Notamacropus eugenii: one gene and its partner. Each later gene encodes a partner of the first gene's protein in a complex. Links are inferred from orthologs where the notes say so. Each region holds a gene or a part of one and is shown on either strand. Other genes may lie near its edges.

The links.
Region 2: LAMTOR5 (region 1) and LAMTOR2 share a complex: the UniProt entries of both Homo sapiens proteins name them as parts of the ragulator complex. The link is inferred for Notamacropus eugenii from reciprocal best matches to the Homo sapiens genes LAMTOR5 and LAMTOR2.

The regions. Positions count from the first base shown.
Region 1 is NC_092873.1:288,911,795-288,919,177, reverse strand, and holds the start of LAMTOR5 (ragulator complex protein LAMTOR5), read left to right. Parts: upstream 1-4,327; 5' UTR 4,328-4,620; coding exon 4,621-4,805; intron 4,806-4,937; coding exon 4,938-4,999; intron 5,000-7,383. UniProt on the Homo sapiens protein: As part of the Ragulator complex it is involved in amino acid sensing and activation of mTORC1, a signaling complex promoting cell growth in response to growth factors, energy levels, and amino acids.
Region 2 is NC_092873.1:380,136,483-380,144,282, forward strand, and holds the start of LAMTOR2 (ragulator complex protein LAMTOR2), read left to right. Parts: upstream 1-4,764; 5' UTR 4,765-5,232; intron 5,233-6,125; 5' UTR 6,126-6,297; coding exon 6,298-6,365; intron 6,366-6,932; coding exon 6,933-7,095; intron 7,096-7,800. Other genes in the region: UBQLN4 (ubiquilin-4), read right to left, coding at 3,297-3,448, 4,423-4,596. UniProt on the Homo sapiens protein: As part of the Ragulator complex it is involved in amino acid sensing and activation of mTORC1, a signaling complex promoting cell growth in response to growth factors, energy levels, and amino acids.

The DNA.
Region 1 (7,383 bases):
GCATGAAATGACAGCGAGTGAAGATGTAAATGAAAACAACACAAGAGAAAGGTAACTAATTAAGTGTAACGACTAGTCTTCATTCTGGAGAAGAGTGGGGATGGGGTGTGGAATCTATGGACCAGTTTTACTCATTTTTCTTTGTTACAAGGGAAAGACATGGGGAAATTTTTATAAAGTAAAAAATAAAAGATGTTAAAACTTAAAAGAAAGGAAGGGGGAAAAAAGAAAGGTAAAATGAAAGAAGTCTTGGCTTTTCCTCCATTTCTTAACTTCATAACAAGACAACTTCTGGAAACTTCTCTTGTTCTTGGCCCTGCATTTATATTGATTTAGTACAGGATCTTTTTAGCCTTCAAAGGAATGGGTCAGGGAAGAAATGTGAGAGGCTAAGGATGGTTAAAGGACTAGAAGGCTTCTGAAGGTTCCTTAGCTTCTGACCCAACCATTCAACTGAAACTGTCCCCTTCAAAGCTTTCAACAAGCTTTTGTTGCTAAATCTAATGGCCGAATGGAGTGGGTAGGGCCACTTAAGATAATACTACACTACATAAAAAGAGGGAAGCTAAGTGAAAATACTGGACCTACTGTCAGAAAGACCAGAGCTAAAAATCTGACCTTGGATATTTGGGCAAGTCACTTAACCTATGTTTGTCTTACTCCACCAGAAAAGGAAATGGCAAACTCCAGTGTCTTTGCCAAGAAAAACCCATGGGCAAGATGGAGTTATGAAGAGTTGAACATGACTGAACATACATGTGATGGAGTGCTCAGACCCCAGCCCTAAGATCATGTCTCTGAAAACTTCCCAATTTCTCAGTGGACCCCTGTCCTCTGAGAAAATTTTCTCTTGTTGTAGAATACATTCTCTTATCAGAACAGACAGAGGGGTGCCTGGCCCAGGGATTTTTGTCCCTGGCTAGTCCAAGGACTCCCCTCACCACATCAGATCCCCACGGTCCATGCCTCTAAGAATTCCCTCAATGTCTGGTATGAACACAGCTATCTCTGCAAAGCTCCCTACATTTTCCCATCCATAGCTCCCAAAGACACCTTTGCATTACCTAATTAGAATCCTCAGTATCCTTTCCCTTGTCCCTTTTCCATATAAGTCCCAGCACCATCCTAACTGTATTATAGGTTCCTTTAAGGATCTTTGCCTGCTTTTGCTAAAGCTTTACTTTTTGCACTTGACTAAGAGAAGGCTTGAGTGTATGAATTCATTCTGCCTTGGCATTCTCAGGGTCCTAGCACTCCCAAACCTCATCACATGTGCTAGACAATGGAGATATAAAACTTTAAGACAGCTAGGTAGCATAGTGGATAGAATGCCAGGCTTGAAGTCAGGAAGACTCATCTTCCTGAGTTCAAATCCAGCCTCCTACACTTCCTAGCTGTGTGACCCTGAGCAAGTCCTTTCACTATGTTTGCCTTGCTTTCCTCATCTGTCAAACGAGCTGGAGAAGGAAATGACAAACCACCCCAGTATCTTTGCCAAGAAAACCCCAAATGGGGTCAGGAAGAGTCAGACGTGACTGAAATGACTAAACAACAACCACCACCATCCCTGTAGTAATCCAAATTTGCAGTGTCTCAGTCATCCTCAATTCCTCCCTTGCCTTTCTCCTTACTCATTTGTTGAATCAGTCGCAGAGTCTGCTTGAACAACATCTGTCATAAGCTGTTCCATCTCTGCTCATTGTCTCTTGAGGCTATTGCAGTAGCTTCCTAACTACTCCTCCAGTCAATTCATCCTTGACTTAGTTGCCAAAGGGATATTCACTCCTACAGCACTGGCCTCACCAAGAGACTCCTCTACAAATGAAGTTCTAATGGGCTCCCAAATGCTTCTAGGATGAAATACCTGTTGGGGTTTTGAATTTAAAACATTTAAAGCCTGTTAGAATCTAGCCCCAGCTGACCTTTCCAGGCTGTTGACCTGAAAACTTGGTTAAAGAAAAGGCAGCAGGCTAATGCATACATTTTATGATTTAATTAATTAATCAATTCCCTATTAAAGACAACGGTAACATAATGCATTATGGAGCCAGAAATGTTCTGGCTACCCAGTGCAGAAATCTTCTGGCTTATATACATTTTGCCATGAGAAAGGAACTCTCCTAGTTGAACAAATCATAAATTCAGTAAGACAGGACAATTAACAAAGTAATGTTGGTCAGGCCTTGGGATTCCAGCTGGGTAAACATATGTCTTGGTGATAAAGAAGGAAATCCCACCACTAGTAAGTGGCAGGCTTCCTGCCCTAAACAGATAACTGACATAAGAAAGGGTAAACAAAGTTCAATAGAAATTACGACCTAAGATGTCTGTGTTTTCTTTACCATTAACATGCCATAACATAGTGTAGGTCTACAAATATTAAGATATGGAAAACGTCCCATTATTCAAGATAGTGTCTTAGGTTAAAGGTCTCCTTAAGGAATGTAGAGTCAGCCTTGGCTGGCTTTTGCTGACATAGGAAGAGGCACCCTCTGAGTTTGCTTCAGAGAGAACAAAGAGATTATTCTAAAATTTTATATTAAACATTATCAAGGCTCACTAAATATTATTACCCTTCCACATACTCTGTGCTCTGTATAACTCAGTGGTTCTCTCAAAGTGTGGTTCAGGAACCCCTCAAATCCCTGAGACCATTTTGGGACACCTCCTTTCAGGAAGACAACAAAATAGAAACTATTTTGTAATAATACTAAGATGTTTTCATTTTTAAAATGACAAATATTGATAGATGTTTGAAGGGAAGGGTGACGGAAGGGAATCCAAGGGAAAATCCAAGGTGACGTGAAAAAAATAATTAGCAAAAATCTATTTTAATAAAATAGTTGGTAGCTTTGGAGAGGATAATTTCATTTGAATGACAGAGCCTGAAGCTAGCTTACAAGTGATTTAAAAACTGAGTGAAGAAGCTTACTAACCAGTATAGACAGCTTTTTATAGGAGTTTCTATGGAAAAATGAAATTAAAGGTTTGTTTTGATTTGTTTTTTTAAGGGTAGGGAAGACCTGGGCATGTTTGTAAATGGTGGAGTAGAAGCCAGTGGAAGAAAACTTCAAGACAAGAGAAGGATGGAAGAAAGGATTAGAAATTGAATAGAGAACAGGGGTGGAGCATCGGTTTTAGCCATGGGGCATTTCTGAAATGGTGTAACACTTGTCTTGTCCCATCAGTCCATCAATTAACATTTATTAAGGGGCTGTTCTATGACAGGCACTGTGCTGAGTGGGGGTACAAAGAAAGGCAAAAAGAAATCAGTCCCTGCTCTCAAGGAGTTCACAGTCTAATGGGGGAGAAAGCATGCCAACAATAAATTAGGGGTCATCTCAGACACCAAGATCAAGGGGGACGGTGGGAGGGTTTCCAGCACAAGGAGGGACTTTGGCTGATTCTGGAAGGCAGGAGGGGTGGAGATGAGGAGAGCGAGACTTGGAGGCATGGGAGGCGGAGAGTGGAAACCCTCTCCCCGGGGAGATGCAGGGTTGTGCGGGAGGGGGAGCAAAGCAGGGTCAGACCAGAGGTGGGCGGGGCTCGCTCCAGGTGTGGGATACCTGGACAGGTGGCCAGGAGCCAGGTTGGGAAGGGCTTTGGAAGCCAGACAGGGGCTGTTTCTGTGTGATCGTGGAGGACAACAGGGAGCCACAGGAGGGTGCTGAAGAAAAGGCTGTTTTGAGAAAAACGCTTTGTAAATCTTAAAGCCCCGCAGAAATGGGTATTTTCGCACTCACGTCAAGTAAACCGGGAGGGCTGGACTGGTTTAGTTCCGAGGGTCTTAGCCTGAGGTCCGAGAACTGGGTTTTTTAAACGTGTGTATGTATATGACCACAGAAGTGATATGAATGTATATGATGATCGAAGGTATGTGTACAGACCGTTTACTTGTAATTGTTACATATGTGTATTTTAATGTTTTCTATATTAGGCGTATTTATAGATGTCATAGTGTTACATCTCTATAAATTACATTTTTATATTTTTAAAATAGAAATTACATATATGTATGTTTATGTATACACGGATCACTTTCAGGGTTATTTCCTTTGTAGTCTTGTGTATTTTATTTCACACACTTTAAAACATGATTCTAAGGGGTCCGTGGGTTTTGCCATTAGTTCGAGGGCCCAAAGAGCGAAAAAGCCCTCTTCCTGACATTTTGGAGAGAAGGAAACTGAGGCAGGGAGGGAAGGGAAGTGACTGCCCCCGGGTCACGCGGTCGGCGGCAGGGCCCACTCTGCACACGTCCCCTCCCATCCAGGCCGAGGCTAATTCTGCGTGAGGCGCCGCCCAGGGTGTAGGGCGGAGCTCGCCACCGTGGGGGAGGGGAGGGAGGGAAGTCCGGGAGCAATAGGCGGGGCCCCTCGCCCCTCCTCCTCCCCCCACCCTTCTCGGCGCTGACTCGAGGGTAACCATGACAACCGGAGGCCTTGACGCCCAGAGGACGCTCCTCCGCCGCCAGAGGTCTTGGAGGTGGCTTCCCCTCCCTGCCAGTGAGGGCCCCGTGGATACAGTACCCTACTGGGCGGCGTCTGCGCAGACTCCAGACTCCTGACACAGAGAGGAAGAGGTGGGGAGAGGGGAAATGTTTTTAATTCCTAACGCGAGTTGATGATTTTTGTCCCGTCGGAAGCCCCGTCCCGCGGCTGTTGCGCCGTACCTGCTGAAGCCGCGTGGTTGCATCACGTGGCCAGAGGAGGGCGGTCACATGACGCGACGTCCCGTGAGCGGCCTGGACTCAACTTACTGTCAAAACCCGAGATGGAAGCGACCCTGGAGCAGCACCTCGAGGACACGTGGGTAGTGTGGGCACGGGCGGGCCGGGCACTTCGGTGGCCTAGTCGAGGCCCGGTCCCGGAGGGAAGACGTGGGAGGTGTGGGGGGCCGCCCGGTTCGCTCCTGTAACCTCGGCGTCTGGTCTGTGTTAGGATGAAGAACCCGTCCATCGTCGGCGTCCTGTGCACGGACTCGCAGGGACTGAACCTGGGCTGTAAGTAGCGCCTTGGCAGGGAGCTTGTGCCCGGACCGGGGGCGGGGGCAGGCACGGGCCTCCGGTGTGCCGGACGCGCCGGGGATGCGGAAGGAGGTCGGGGTGGCTCCCGCCCCCGAGGATGCCGCGTTCTAACGGGGGAGGACCACCGGCAGGGGGTTGTGGATAAGAAAGAAGGTAATCCTTCGAGCAAGGCCCCACCCCCGGGGGCACGAGCAGGGGAAGCCTCCGCGGAAGATGGGACTCCCCCACTTAGGATACGGGGTGCCCCGGGGGAGAAGAGCCGAGGCCGCGTCCCCAGACCTTGGGGGCCCTGTTGGCACAGGTGTTCTCTAAGAAGGGCATCGACAGGTGGTGTACGTGCTGATGGGCCAGGTGCCCGGTTGGCCCATAGGTTGATGTCGTTGCATTTTAGCAGGGGAGGGAGGGCTACGTCTCCCTAGTACTTAAAAAAGTGTGTGGTTTCACTGTGTAGCTACTCATTTCACTGTAGAAAACGTTGGTCTTTCTTTAACCTGGGGTGGAGGATTTTTGTGAATTGTCCCTGGTTTGTTACATAATCTCAGGTGGGTCCTCGAGGCAGTCTTCTAACTCTTGCCCATCTCCACCTGTCCCGTCTGTCCTTCCTTGCTTGGGTGTCTTTGGAAGACACAGCCCTCCCTAAAAAGGCCCCCAAGCTCGGCTTCAAAGAGCCTGTTTCATCAGTTATTTCCGAATTCTGGTCTTAGGGTATGTAACTAGGGATTATTTGGGAGATTACTTAGGACGGGGAGGACTTCGTTGCCTCACCCCACTCCACCCCCTATCATTTTACGTTTATTCGCCCATGCCCTCCCCCATGCTGCCATTCTTTTTCAGTGCCTGACTTCTTGGGAAAATTGTCTGTATTCCAGACCTCTGTTTCTTTACCAGACACTCATTTCTGGACTACAGGTAATTGGGCTTCCTCCAAGGTTACCAAGGATCTCTTTACCTGCTGAATCCAGTGACTTTTCCTCAGTCCTCCTGCACCTTGATTTCTCTGAAGCTTTGACACTATTGACCATCCTTTCTTGAATATATTCTCCTTATTTGGATTCCGTGGCATTTCTCTCTACTGTTCTTCTTGTCTGCCTTCATCCTATGAAATGTCTCTCTTGCTGAAATGCCGTCCATCCCCTACCTCCTTTACTGTGGCTGACCCTCTACAGCTGTTCTGATTCCTCTTCATGGTACATGTTCTCCTTGGTATCATCTGTTCCTACAGGTTCAGTGTATCTCTACACTAAGGACTTGTTTCCAACTCACACCTTTTCCTAAATTCCATTTCTACATTATGGAAGCCTGATGTTTGACAGTGTGTGGCAAACTTAACTTGTTCAAAACAGAATTGTTTTCATCTTGAAACCTTTTCCCCTAAAATTGCTCATCCTTGGTTTTTCCTTCTCCCTCCCCCCCCCCACTTGCCAACTCCTGTTTGTTCTCCCATCCCTTGTCATCACTCAGAATGGCTACCACCCTAGTTCAGATCTTTATTGCTTCTTGCCTGCACTTTTGTATTGTAATAGCCTCCCAGTCTCTCCATTCTCCTTTCAGCTGCTAAAAGTACTTTCCTAATTCAGATCTGAGCATGACACTTTTCCTCAAAAATCTTGTGTCTCCTCATTGTCTAGAGCATAAAGTACAAACTCCTTAGCCTTGAGCCTCCCATAATAACAACTGACACTACTTTATGGACATTTTATTTGGACCTCAGAACAGTCTTGTGAAGCAAGCCCCGCAGGTTTTATTATACTCCATTTTACAGCTGAGTAATCTGAAATTCAGAGAAGTTCAGTAGTTTACCTGTGTTCAATTAATGTATCTATCCCCTTCAGTGTCTATCCCCTGAATCATTCTGTGTCTCAGCCTGGCTTATCTTTGTTGCCTTGTTTCTTTATATTCTGCTTCATATGCTCTGTATTCCAGCCATGTTGGCAAATTATCTATTTTCAGATCTTGGCATGCCATTTCCCATCTCTAATTTTGCACAGGCAACCCCCCCTCCCCACTTCCCACCACCACCTTTGTAAAGAGACTCCTTTCTCATTGTTACCTCTTAAGAGTTACTTGATGGCTGCTTCTAAGGTTCTACTGTAGTACCAACTCTCATAGGAAACCTTTCCTCTCATCTCCCCTACCATGTTAGTGTAACCTCCTTTTTCATTTATCATGTGTTGAAGTTGTGTACCTTTCATAAAATAAGCTCCTTGAGGACAGGGACTATGTTTTTGTTTTTTTCCAGTATTCCTAGCATAGGGCTTTGCACATAATAAGCGCTTAACAAATGTTTATTTAATTGATATGCTGTAGCTAAAAAAAACCGGACGGCCAAACATTGTTTTCATCTCTGAAATGAGCTTGAC
Region 2 (7,800 bases), about 91 Mb from region 1:
ATTTACAAGGAGGCTCAGATGGCAAAGCAGTGCTAACTTAGGAGGACTAGTTGGGCATTCAGAAGACCTGGGCACCAGAAGTGGCGCCCTACCAATCTGTTATATGCCCACAGGCAAATCACTCAGTCACTCTGAGTCCCAGGGGGTAGAAGAGAGACAGAAAAAGATGAAGGGGAAAAGGTGCTCCCTCCCCATTAGAAATGTTTCTTGACCAGAATCACATAGCCCCTTGTGGGCAGACTGTCTTGCTTTTGTGTTTCTGTCCCTAGTCCTTAGCACATAGTAGGGCTAAGAAAAGGCAACAGAGCTGTGATTTCACTGATACTCTCAAGGTGAAGAATCTCCCTCTACCAAGTTAGAAAACAATTATTTATATAACCTACTATGTGCAGGTTATTATGCTAAGTGCTTCACAAATATCACATCACTTGATCCTCACAATAACCCTGAGTGGTAGGTGCTCTTACTATCCCCCTTTTACAGATGAGGGAACTAAGGCAGACAGAGAAGTTAAGTGACTTACCCAAGGTAACACAACCAGCAAGTGTCCACCAATATAAGCTGACAACTCCTCTGTAACTTAAGAGTCTTAGAGAACTACCTAGAGCAGTGAGAGGAGACTTGCCCAGGGTCACACAGTCAATACATGTCTAAGGTAAGACTTGAGCCCAGGTCTTCCTGGCCTTCAGGCCAGCTTTCCATCCACTACACTACATGGTGAGTTCTCATTCCTCCCTCACAACCTCCTGGGGGAAATAGTACATATAGCATTCCCACTGTACAGATGAAACTCAGAGAGGTCAATGATGTCGTTGCCCACAGCCACAGTTAGTAAAGAGGAGTTACAATGATGGAACTCAGAGCTTTCAGCTCAAAGGTTGCTGCTCTTTGCCCATTCAGATCACTGTCCCTAGACTGCTATGGAAGATGATGCTGACTTTCCCAACAGCTTGTGGTTCTCCATGCTAGAATTTAGCTTTAAAAAATATGTTCTTTTTAACACCCTACTGATTCCTCTCAAGTCTCAGGGTCTCAGCCAAAAAACGGCCAAAAGAGGCCACAGAACTAGAAACGAGAAGTCTACCAAGAGATAGAGAGAACTCATATATATAGTCAGCTAGGGGGAAGATAAGATTCCTGGACCTGGAGCCAAAGACCTGGGCTCAGAACCTGCCTCCGACTTTTACCAGCTGTGGGGCCTTGGGAAGTCATTCAACCTCTCTCAATCTGTTTCTTCATCTATAAAACGGGGATAACAGCATTGACCACCCAAGGTATGTGTACATACGTATTGAAATAATATACATATATGTGCACTATAGGAATATATATACATATCCACATATATGCCTGCGTATACACATACATATATGTGTGCATATGTACATACATGTGCATGTTTATACATGTACATATATACATATAGAGACACACACACAAGAATTAGAGAAATTTCTCAATATATAAAATGGTTAAAAGCCATGGACAGGCAGTTTTCAAATGAAAACTGCAAACTATTGACAACCGCATGAAAGTATGTTTCAAATCACTAATAATAAGAGAAATGAAAATGAAAAGAACTCAGGTTTTACCCTACACCCAGCACACAGGTAAAGATGACTACATGGTAAAGGGTAAATGTTAGCTGATATGAGGGAAGATGAGCACATTCATACTGTTGGTAGAGCTATGAACCGATCTAAGTGTTCTAGAAAACAATTTGGAACCGGGCTGAACTACACGCCCACACACTCACCCCCAGTAATACCAGTATTGGGCCTCCTTATTTCGCACCTGAGTACTACTCTGGGACATCTGTGACTTCTCCACCAGGGTCAAAGAAGCTCATTATTGGGAAAATCTCACCATCCTGAAAGGTCTTTTCAGCCCTAGGACTTCACTTCTTTACTACCCTCTGCCCTTCTGATTGAAAGGTGGTGCCATGAACTTTCAAAACTCTATTTAAGCAGGGAGCTGGGCTCAGAACATCTCATTTCTCACCTGATCTCACTCCTCTGGAACTTTTCTGACTTCTCCACCATGCCCCCAAGTCAGGTACTACCCCTCCCCCCTTTACCTGCCTTTTGTATATAATCTTCCCACATTAGATTGGAAGCTCCTAGAGGGCAGGGACTTTCCCTTTTAACACAGGGCCAGGCATATAGTAGGTGCTTAGTAAACGTTTATTGACTTAGCGACTGATTTATTGACATATCCTAAGGATGTCAAGGACAAAGGGAAAGGGTCCACATACACAAAAATATTTATAACAATACTTTCTGAGATAGCAAGAAACTGGAAATAAAGAAGCTAGGAGTCCATCTTTCATTTTACAGACAAGGAAACTAAGGCCTGGTGAGGTTAAGAGATTTGTCCAAGGTCAAAGAGGTTGCAAGTGTTGGGCAGGGTTTGAGCCAATGTTCTGACTCTAAACCCAAGGCTCTTTTCAATTGTACCATGAATGCCATGGAATCTTATTGTGCCATAAGAAATGACAAATAAGAAGAGTTCAGGGAAACTTGGAAAGACTTGAATGAACTGATGCAGAGTAAAATGAGCAGAACTAGAAATTGATTATGATCATTTACTGAAAGATCATACTAAAGTAAAGGAAAACAATGAAAGCCATCAGAACATTAGGCTGCTAGGGACTACAGTGGGCAAGAGCACTCCCAGTGCTGAAGATCAAATGAGGTAAAATGGCTTATAAAACTTAAAGTGCTGTATAAATGCTAGCCATTGTTACTTGATCCAGGCAGTGACCAATCTCAACGTCAGAAAACTGAAAATGGCCAAAACCACTTTCCTCTGCTTGACAGAACAATGAAGGACTACAAATGCAGAATGAGGTACCTGGCTGAAACAGTCAATATGATGGTTTGTTTTGCTTTACTACAGTTTTTCTTTCCTACAAGAGAAGAGTACTATTTTGTAGAATAGAGGAAGACAGAATGACTGAAAAGTCACATGGCATTCAAAGAAAAGTCATCAATAAAATTTTTTCCAAAAGAATTATTTCTTTAAGAAAATGGAAAACTAATAAAGGACTGAACTTCTCAGCAAGGATTTTTAAAAGGGTAAGACACTAGCCTCCATTTTTTCTAGGGAAGTAACATTATACTAGGAGGATGTTAAGTTAAATTTTATACACTTAAAAAGCCCAAACTCGCAATCAAGACTATAGCATCTCCTTCTCAGACCTCTAAACGATTTCCATTGGGTTAGGATGAGTAAGAAAGCAGTAGCCTTTCAAGGACCATTCAAAGGGCAGCTCCTATTGGTTATCCCAAACTTACTTCTGCGGGGTCTTGATCACCAAATGGACAGTGAGCCCATCCTTGATCCCATGTTGATTTAACGTGTCTCCATCTTTGAGAATCTTGCCAGCGAAGATCAGGACAAGCTGGTCTTGCTGGGCTTTAAACCTCCGGGAGATCTCCTCTTTGAACTGTGATATCAGGTCAAAGGTCCAGGGTCAGTGTGGCCTGCCTCACAGAAAGACTGTCCAACAGCTCAGACTCTTCTTCAGAATCCTTGCTCCAATTTCCAGTCATCAGAAATCTTTCCTCCAATCTAGCACCTCTGTGTCCTGCTGCATACTCTACTGAGATGAAGACCACAGGGGCTCTAGTCCTCCCTTGATCACAGGATTTGGAGCTGAGAGGGACCTTACAGACCACTTAGGCCAACCCCAAGAGATGAGCTAACTGAGGGGGTGGACCGGCTTATCCAAAGTAAACTGAGGAGTTTAAATTCTAACCAAGTCAGTTTCTCTGACTCTTTTGTCCATAACACAGTATCACCCTCTCCCAAAAAAAAATCAACTCCTTGCTACTATCTAACCTTTCTTTCCTCACTTGGATCTCCCCCTTCAGTTTTCTCTTACTCTCCACCTTTAAACTTGGGGGTGCCGTTATCTTTAAACTCATTCTAGGCTAAGGCAGTAAAGGAGGGGATCAGGACCAAGGCAGCCTACAACCAGCACTCTGTGGGGGCAAGCAGGGTCTTAAAGGAAAAGGGCATTTCCCTGAATGGGGCATTTGGGGCATGGGGGGCTTTCTCCTCTCATCCCTTAGGGCCAGCTTCTGGCCCTTCCGAGCTCCAGGACTGGGACTGGGGGTACGCCGCCTCCTCACTTTCTAGCCTGCCCGGACCCTCGTGGGTCAGACAGCCCCCTGACCCCACTCCTGCAACCTCTCTTCGCCCCCCACCTCCCGTCTGCTTCCAGGGATGGACGAGCCTCCCCTTTCCCTCCCCTCCCCACCATGTGCCAGAGGCCCCCTCCTTCCTCTCCCCTCCCCCCGGCCGTCCCTCCCCGCCCCCTCCGTCCCTCCCTGCACGCCCGCGCCCGGCCCGGCCCGGCCCCCAGCGCGCCGCTCCTCCCGCCTCCGCGGCCCGCCGAACGGCCAGCGGCGTCCATACCTCCTTCACCGAGGCGCGATCGCAGATCACGATCTCCTCCTTGTCCTTGGGGGTCTTGACGGTGACCCGGATCGGGGGCCCTGGCCCCGGCTCGGCACCGGTTCCGGACGCGGCCCCTGTCCCGGTCCCGGTCCCGGCCCCGGCCCCGGCTCCGGCCCCGTTCGGCTCCGCCATGCCGCCGCCGCCGTCCGCCCGCCCGCCAGCCCGGCCCCGGCTCCTCCTCCCCGCCCGGCCCGGCCCGGCCACGGCGTCCCCAGCCCTCCCCCCCCACCCCAGCCTTCTCCTGCCCGCCCTCCGTCCCTCCCCCCCCCCTGCCGCCGCCGCCGCCTCCGCCGCCGCCGCAGCCGCGCCCGCCCCGCCCCGCGAGTCTCCGCTTCTCTTCCTTCTCTAGCTCTCGGCGGTTACAGCGCCCCCAGCGGACTGGGGGAGTCACGGCAGCACCGGGGACAATGTGTCTAGGAGGGAGAAAGTTCACTGGACGGGACGGTCATTGACTTTAAAGGGTCCTGATGGTCACTGGATTGGAAAGGTCTCTTGTCTCACAGGACAAAAAGGAATCAAGAAGACCTGGGTTCGAATTCAGCCTCAGATGTTTACTGTGTAAATGGGTGGATGAAAAAAATTATTAAGCATTTAATCTATGCACAACCCTGTATCTGGCACCCAGTAGGTGCTGAATATTTATTGACTGACGTACTGTTATGTCCTGGGGAAGAAGAGAAGTAAGACAGTCCCTGATCTACAGGAGACCGGGTTCTAATGGGGAGACAACACACAAGAAAGGTTTCAGCCCTGAGAAATAAGAAAATGGTCAGTGCCACAGCTACTCCTCTTCTGTTTCTTGACCTTATAAACTTCTCTCCTTCTGATGACATTTAGCTTTCCTCTGAGGGTCATTTCTCCTCCCCTAGTTAGGAGTCTTCCTTCCCCTTCAGAATCAAATAGCCTCGATCTTTTGTAATCCTGTGTAAAGTGTCTCCCAGTCACTAGAACCTAGAAGATTTTGTGCTTGATAGGAATAAGGCTGTGATTTCTTTGGTGCAGGGAACTCCTGGGTGGGGACATTCCTTTTACCAGTGCAGGCCAGCACCTTCTCTGCAATTTATCCCCTTAGTTGTCTGCAGAAAGGAGGTTAAATGACTTGCTCAGATTTACCCAGTCATTGTGTGGCAGGGGCAGAACTTGAACCTGGGTATTTTTAGCTTAATAAATGTTTGCTGGTTGATTGGAATCTAACATCTGATGCTTTATGCTAAATTCCCTCTTCTTCTAACCTCCTCTCTTAAATAAAAACAAAAGTAGTATGCTGGAGTGAAAAGAGCACTAGACAGGGAAACAACAGCTCAAGTAGGAGCTAGCTGTGTGACCTTGGGCAAGTCACGACTTTTTATCCCCATTTATATAAAATGGAGATTAATAATACTTAACCTTCCTACCCCACATGATTATTAAGGGCAATTTAGGTTTAGCACAGTGCCTGCTACATGCTTAATAAATGCTTGTTGATTTATATGAAAGTACCTTGCAAAGCGCAAAGATTTGCGCACACACACAAAAATTAAATAAATGACTCATTACGTGCGGACCACACTACTCCAGGCTCCCGGGACGGCTTAAATGTCCTCGGTGAGTCTTTACTCCTCGCATGTTGGACTACGGCCCCCAAGATGCCTCTCGGGCTGAGAAAGAACTACAATTTCCAGGGTGCCCTACCACGGAGGCCTGCAATGATCATTACCGGTGGAGACTACAATTCCCAGTGAGCCCCGGGGGAACCGGCCGGGGCTACGGGAAGCGTCCGACCTAGTGCGAGCCAGGGGAAGACCCTAGGGATCCAGGACGTAGACCGGGTTGCGGGGACTCGGAGCGGTCGTCATGCTTCGCCCCAAGGCCCTGACCCAGGTGCTAAGTCAAGCCAACACCGGAGGCGTCCAGAGCACACTGTAAGTGTTGGGGGTAGGGGGTGCCCTGGGGAGAAGGGGCAGGATGCAGTGCATCCTAGCTGGGATTGGAACAAGCCTGTAGTCCGGCCCGGGAGTGGGAGCTCTGCATACCCCAGGAAGGGAGGAAGAGACCCCAGGAACACGGAGGTGTAGGAAAAGGGGCACGCTATCAATCAATCCATCGGTCCGTCAGCCAGCATTTGTTAAGGCGTCCCTACTGGATGGCAGCCCCCGTGCAGGGGTTTGGGGGGTTCATGGACAAAAATGAAACAAGCTTTGCTTTCCTGGAATTTGAGCTATTAGGGAAATGAAACCTGGATGAGGAATGGGTGGCGGGACTGAGGGAAGAAGAAAGATTTGGGCAGGGGGGAAGGGAAGGAAGGGGGAAGAAGAGGGCAGTGGTTTTCAGAAAGTGTGTGTGTGTCGCGGGGGGAGGCTGATAGCTTTTAGCTTGGGGCCCCAACCCCTGGGGAAAGCGAAATCTAGGAGAGGGAACTCAGGCTTCTCACCCCGGAACACATTCATAGGACTCCAGCCAGTCATTTTAACTATATCCCCCCTCCCCAGGTTGCTGAATAATGAGGGCTCCCTGCTGGCCTACTCTGGTTATGGGGACACCGATGCTAGGGTCACTGCTGCCATCGCCAGTAACATCTGGGCTGCCTACGACCGGAATGGGAACCAAGCCTTTAACGAAGACAATCTCAAATTCATCCTTATGGACTGCATGGTATGAAGGGGAGTGGAGCTCCTGGAGTGGAGGGATTTAAACTAGATTCCCTTAGTGGATGACTCTTTGGGGTCAATGATTTAGGGCTGGAAGGGAACACAGAGAGCCTATTATCCAATCCCCTTCTGTTTTATGGATGAAAAAACTGAGAGCTAAGTGATATGCCCAGGTCACAAACATAGCAAAAGTGCAGATTAGACTATGTTAATAATGGAATGAGTGCTGGATTTAGATTTAGAGAACCTGGGTTTAAGTACTGTCTATATTATTTAAATGTCTGTTATTCTCAGGCAAGTCACAACCTCTCAGGGCCTCGGTTTCCTTATCTGTAAAATGGGAAGTTTGGACTCATTGACCTTCAAGGCAGCTTGCACTTTGAAATTCAATTCAATTTGACAATCACTAAGCCTCAGACCCTGTGTTAAGAACTAGGGGTAACAAGGACAAAACAATCCCTATTCTCCAAGAGTTTGCAATCTTCTGGATCTTTGGTCCTCCGACTTCAAATTCAGTGTTGTTTCCATTGTACTCTGATTACTTTAATCAGTGGATAGACTTGGAGCAGATGCTGGATGATTGGAGGGAGGAGGAGACAGAAACTCCCAAGTGCATCATGGGGGTGGGACCCCAACAACAATTTTAGGGTACAGTCTCAAGTAGACCTGAAAGCAAGGATCTGAACCTGGTACTTTAATTTTTTACCTC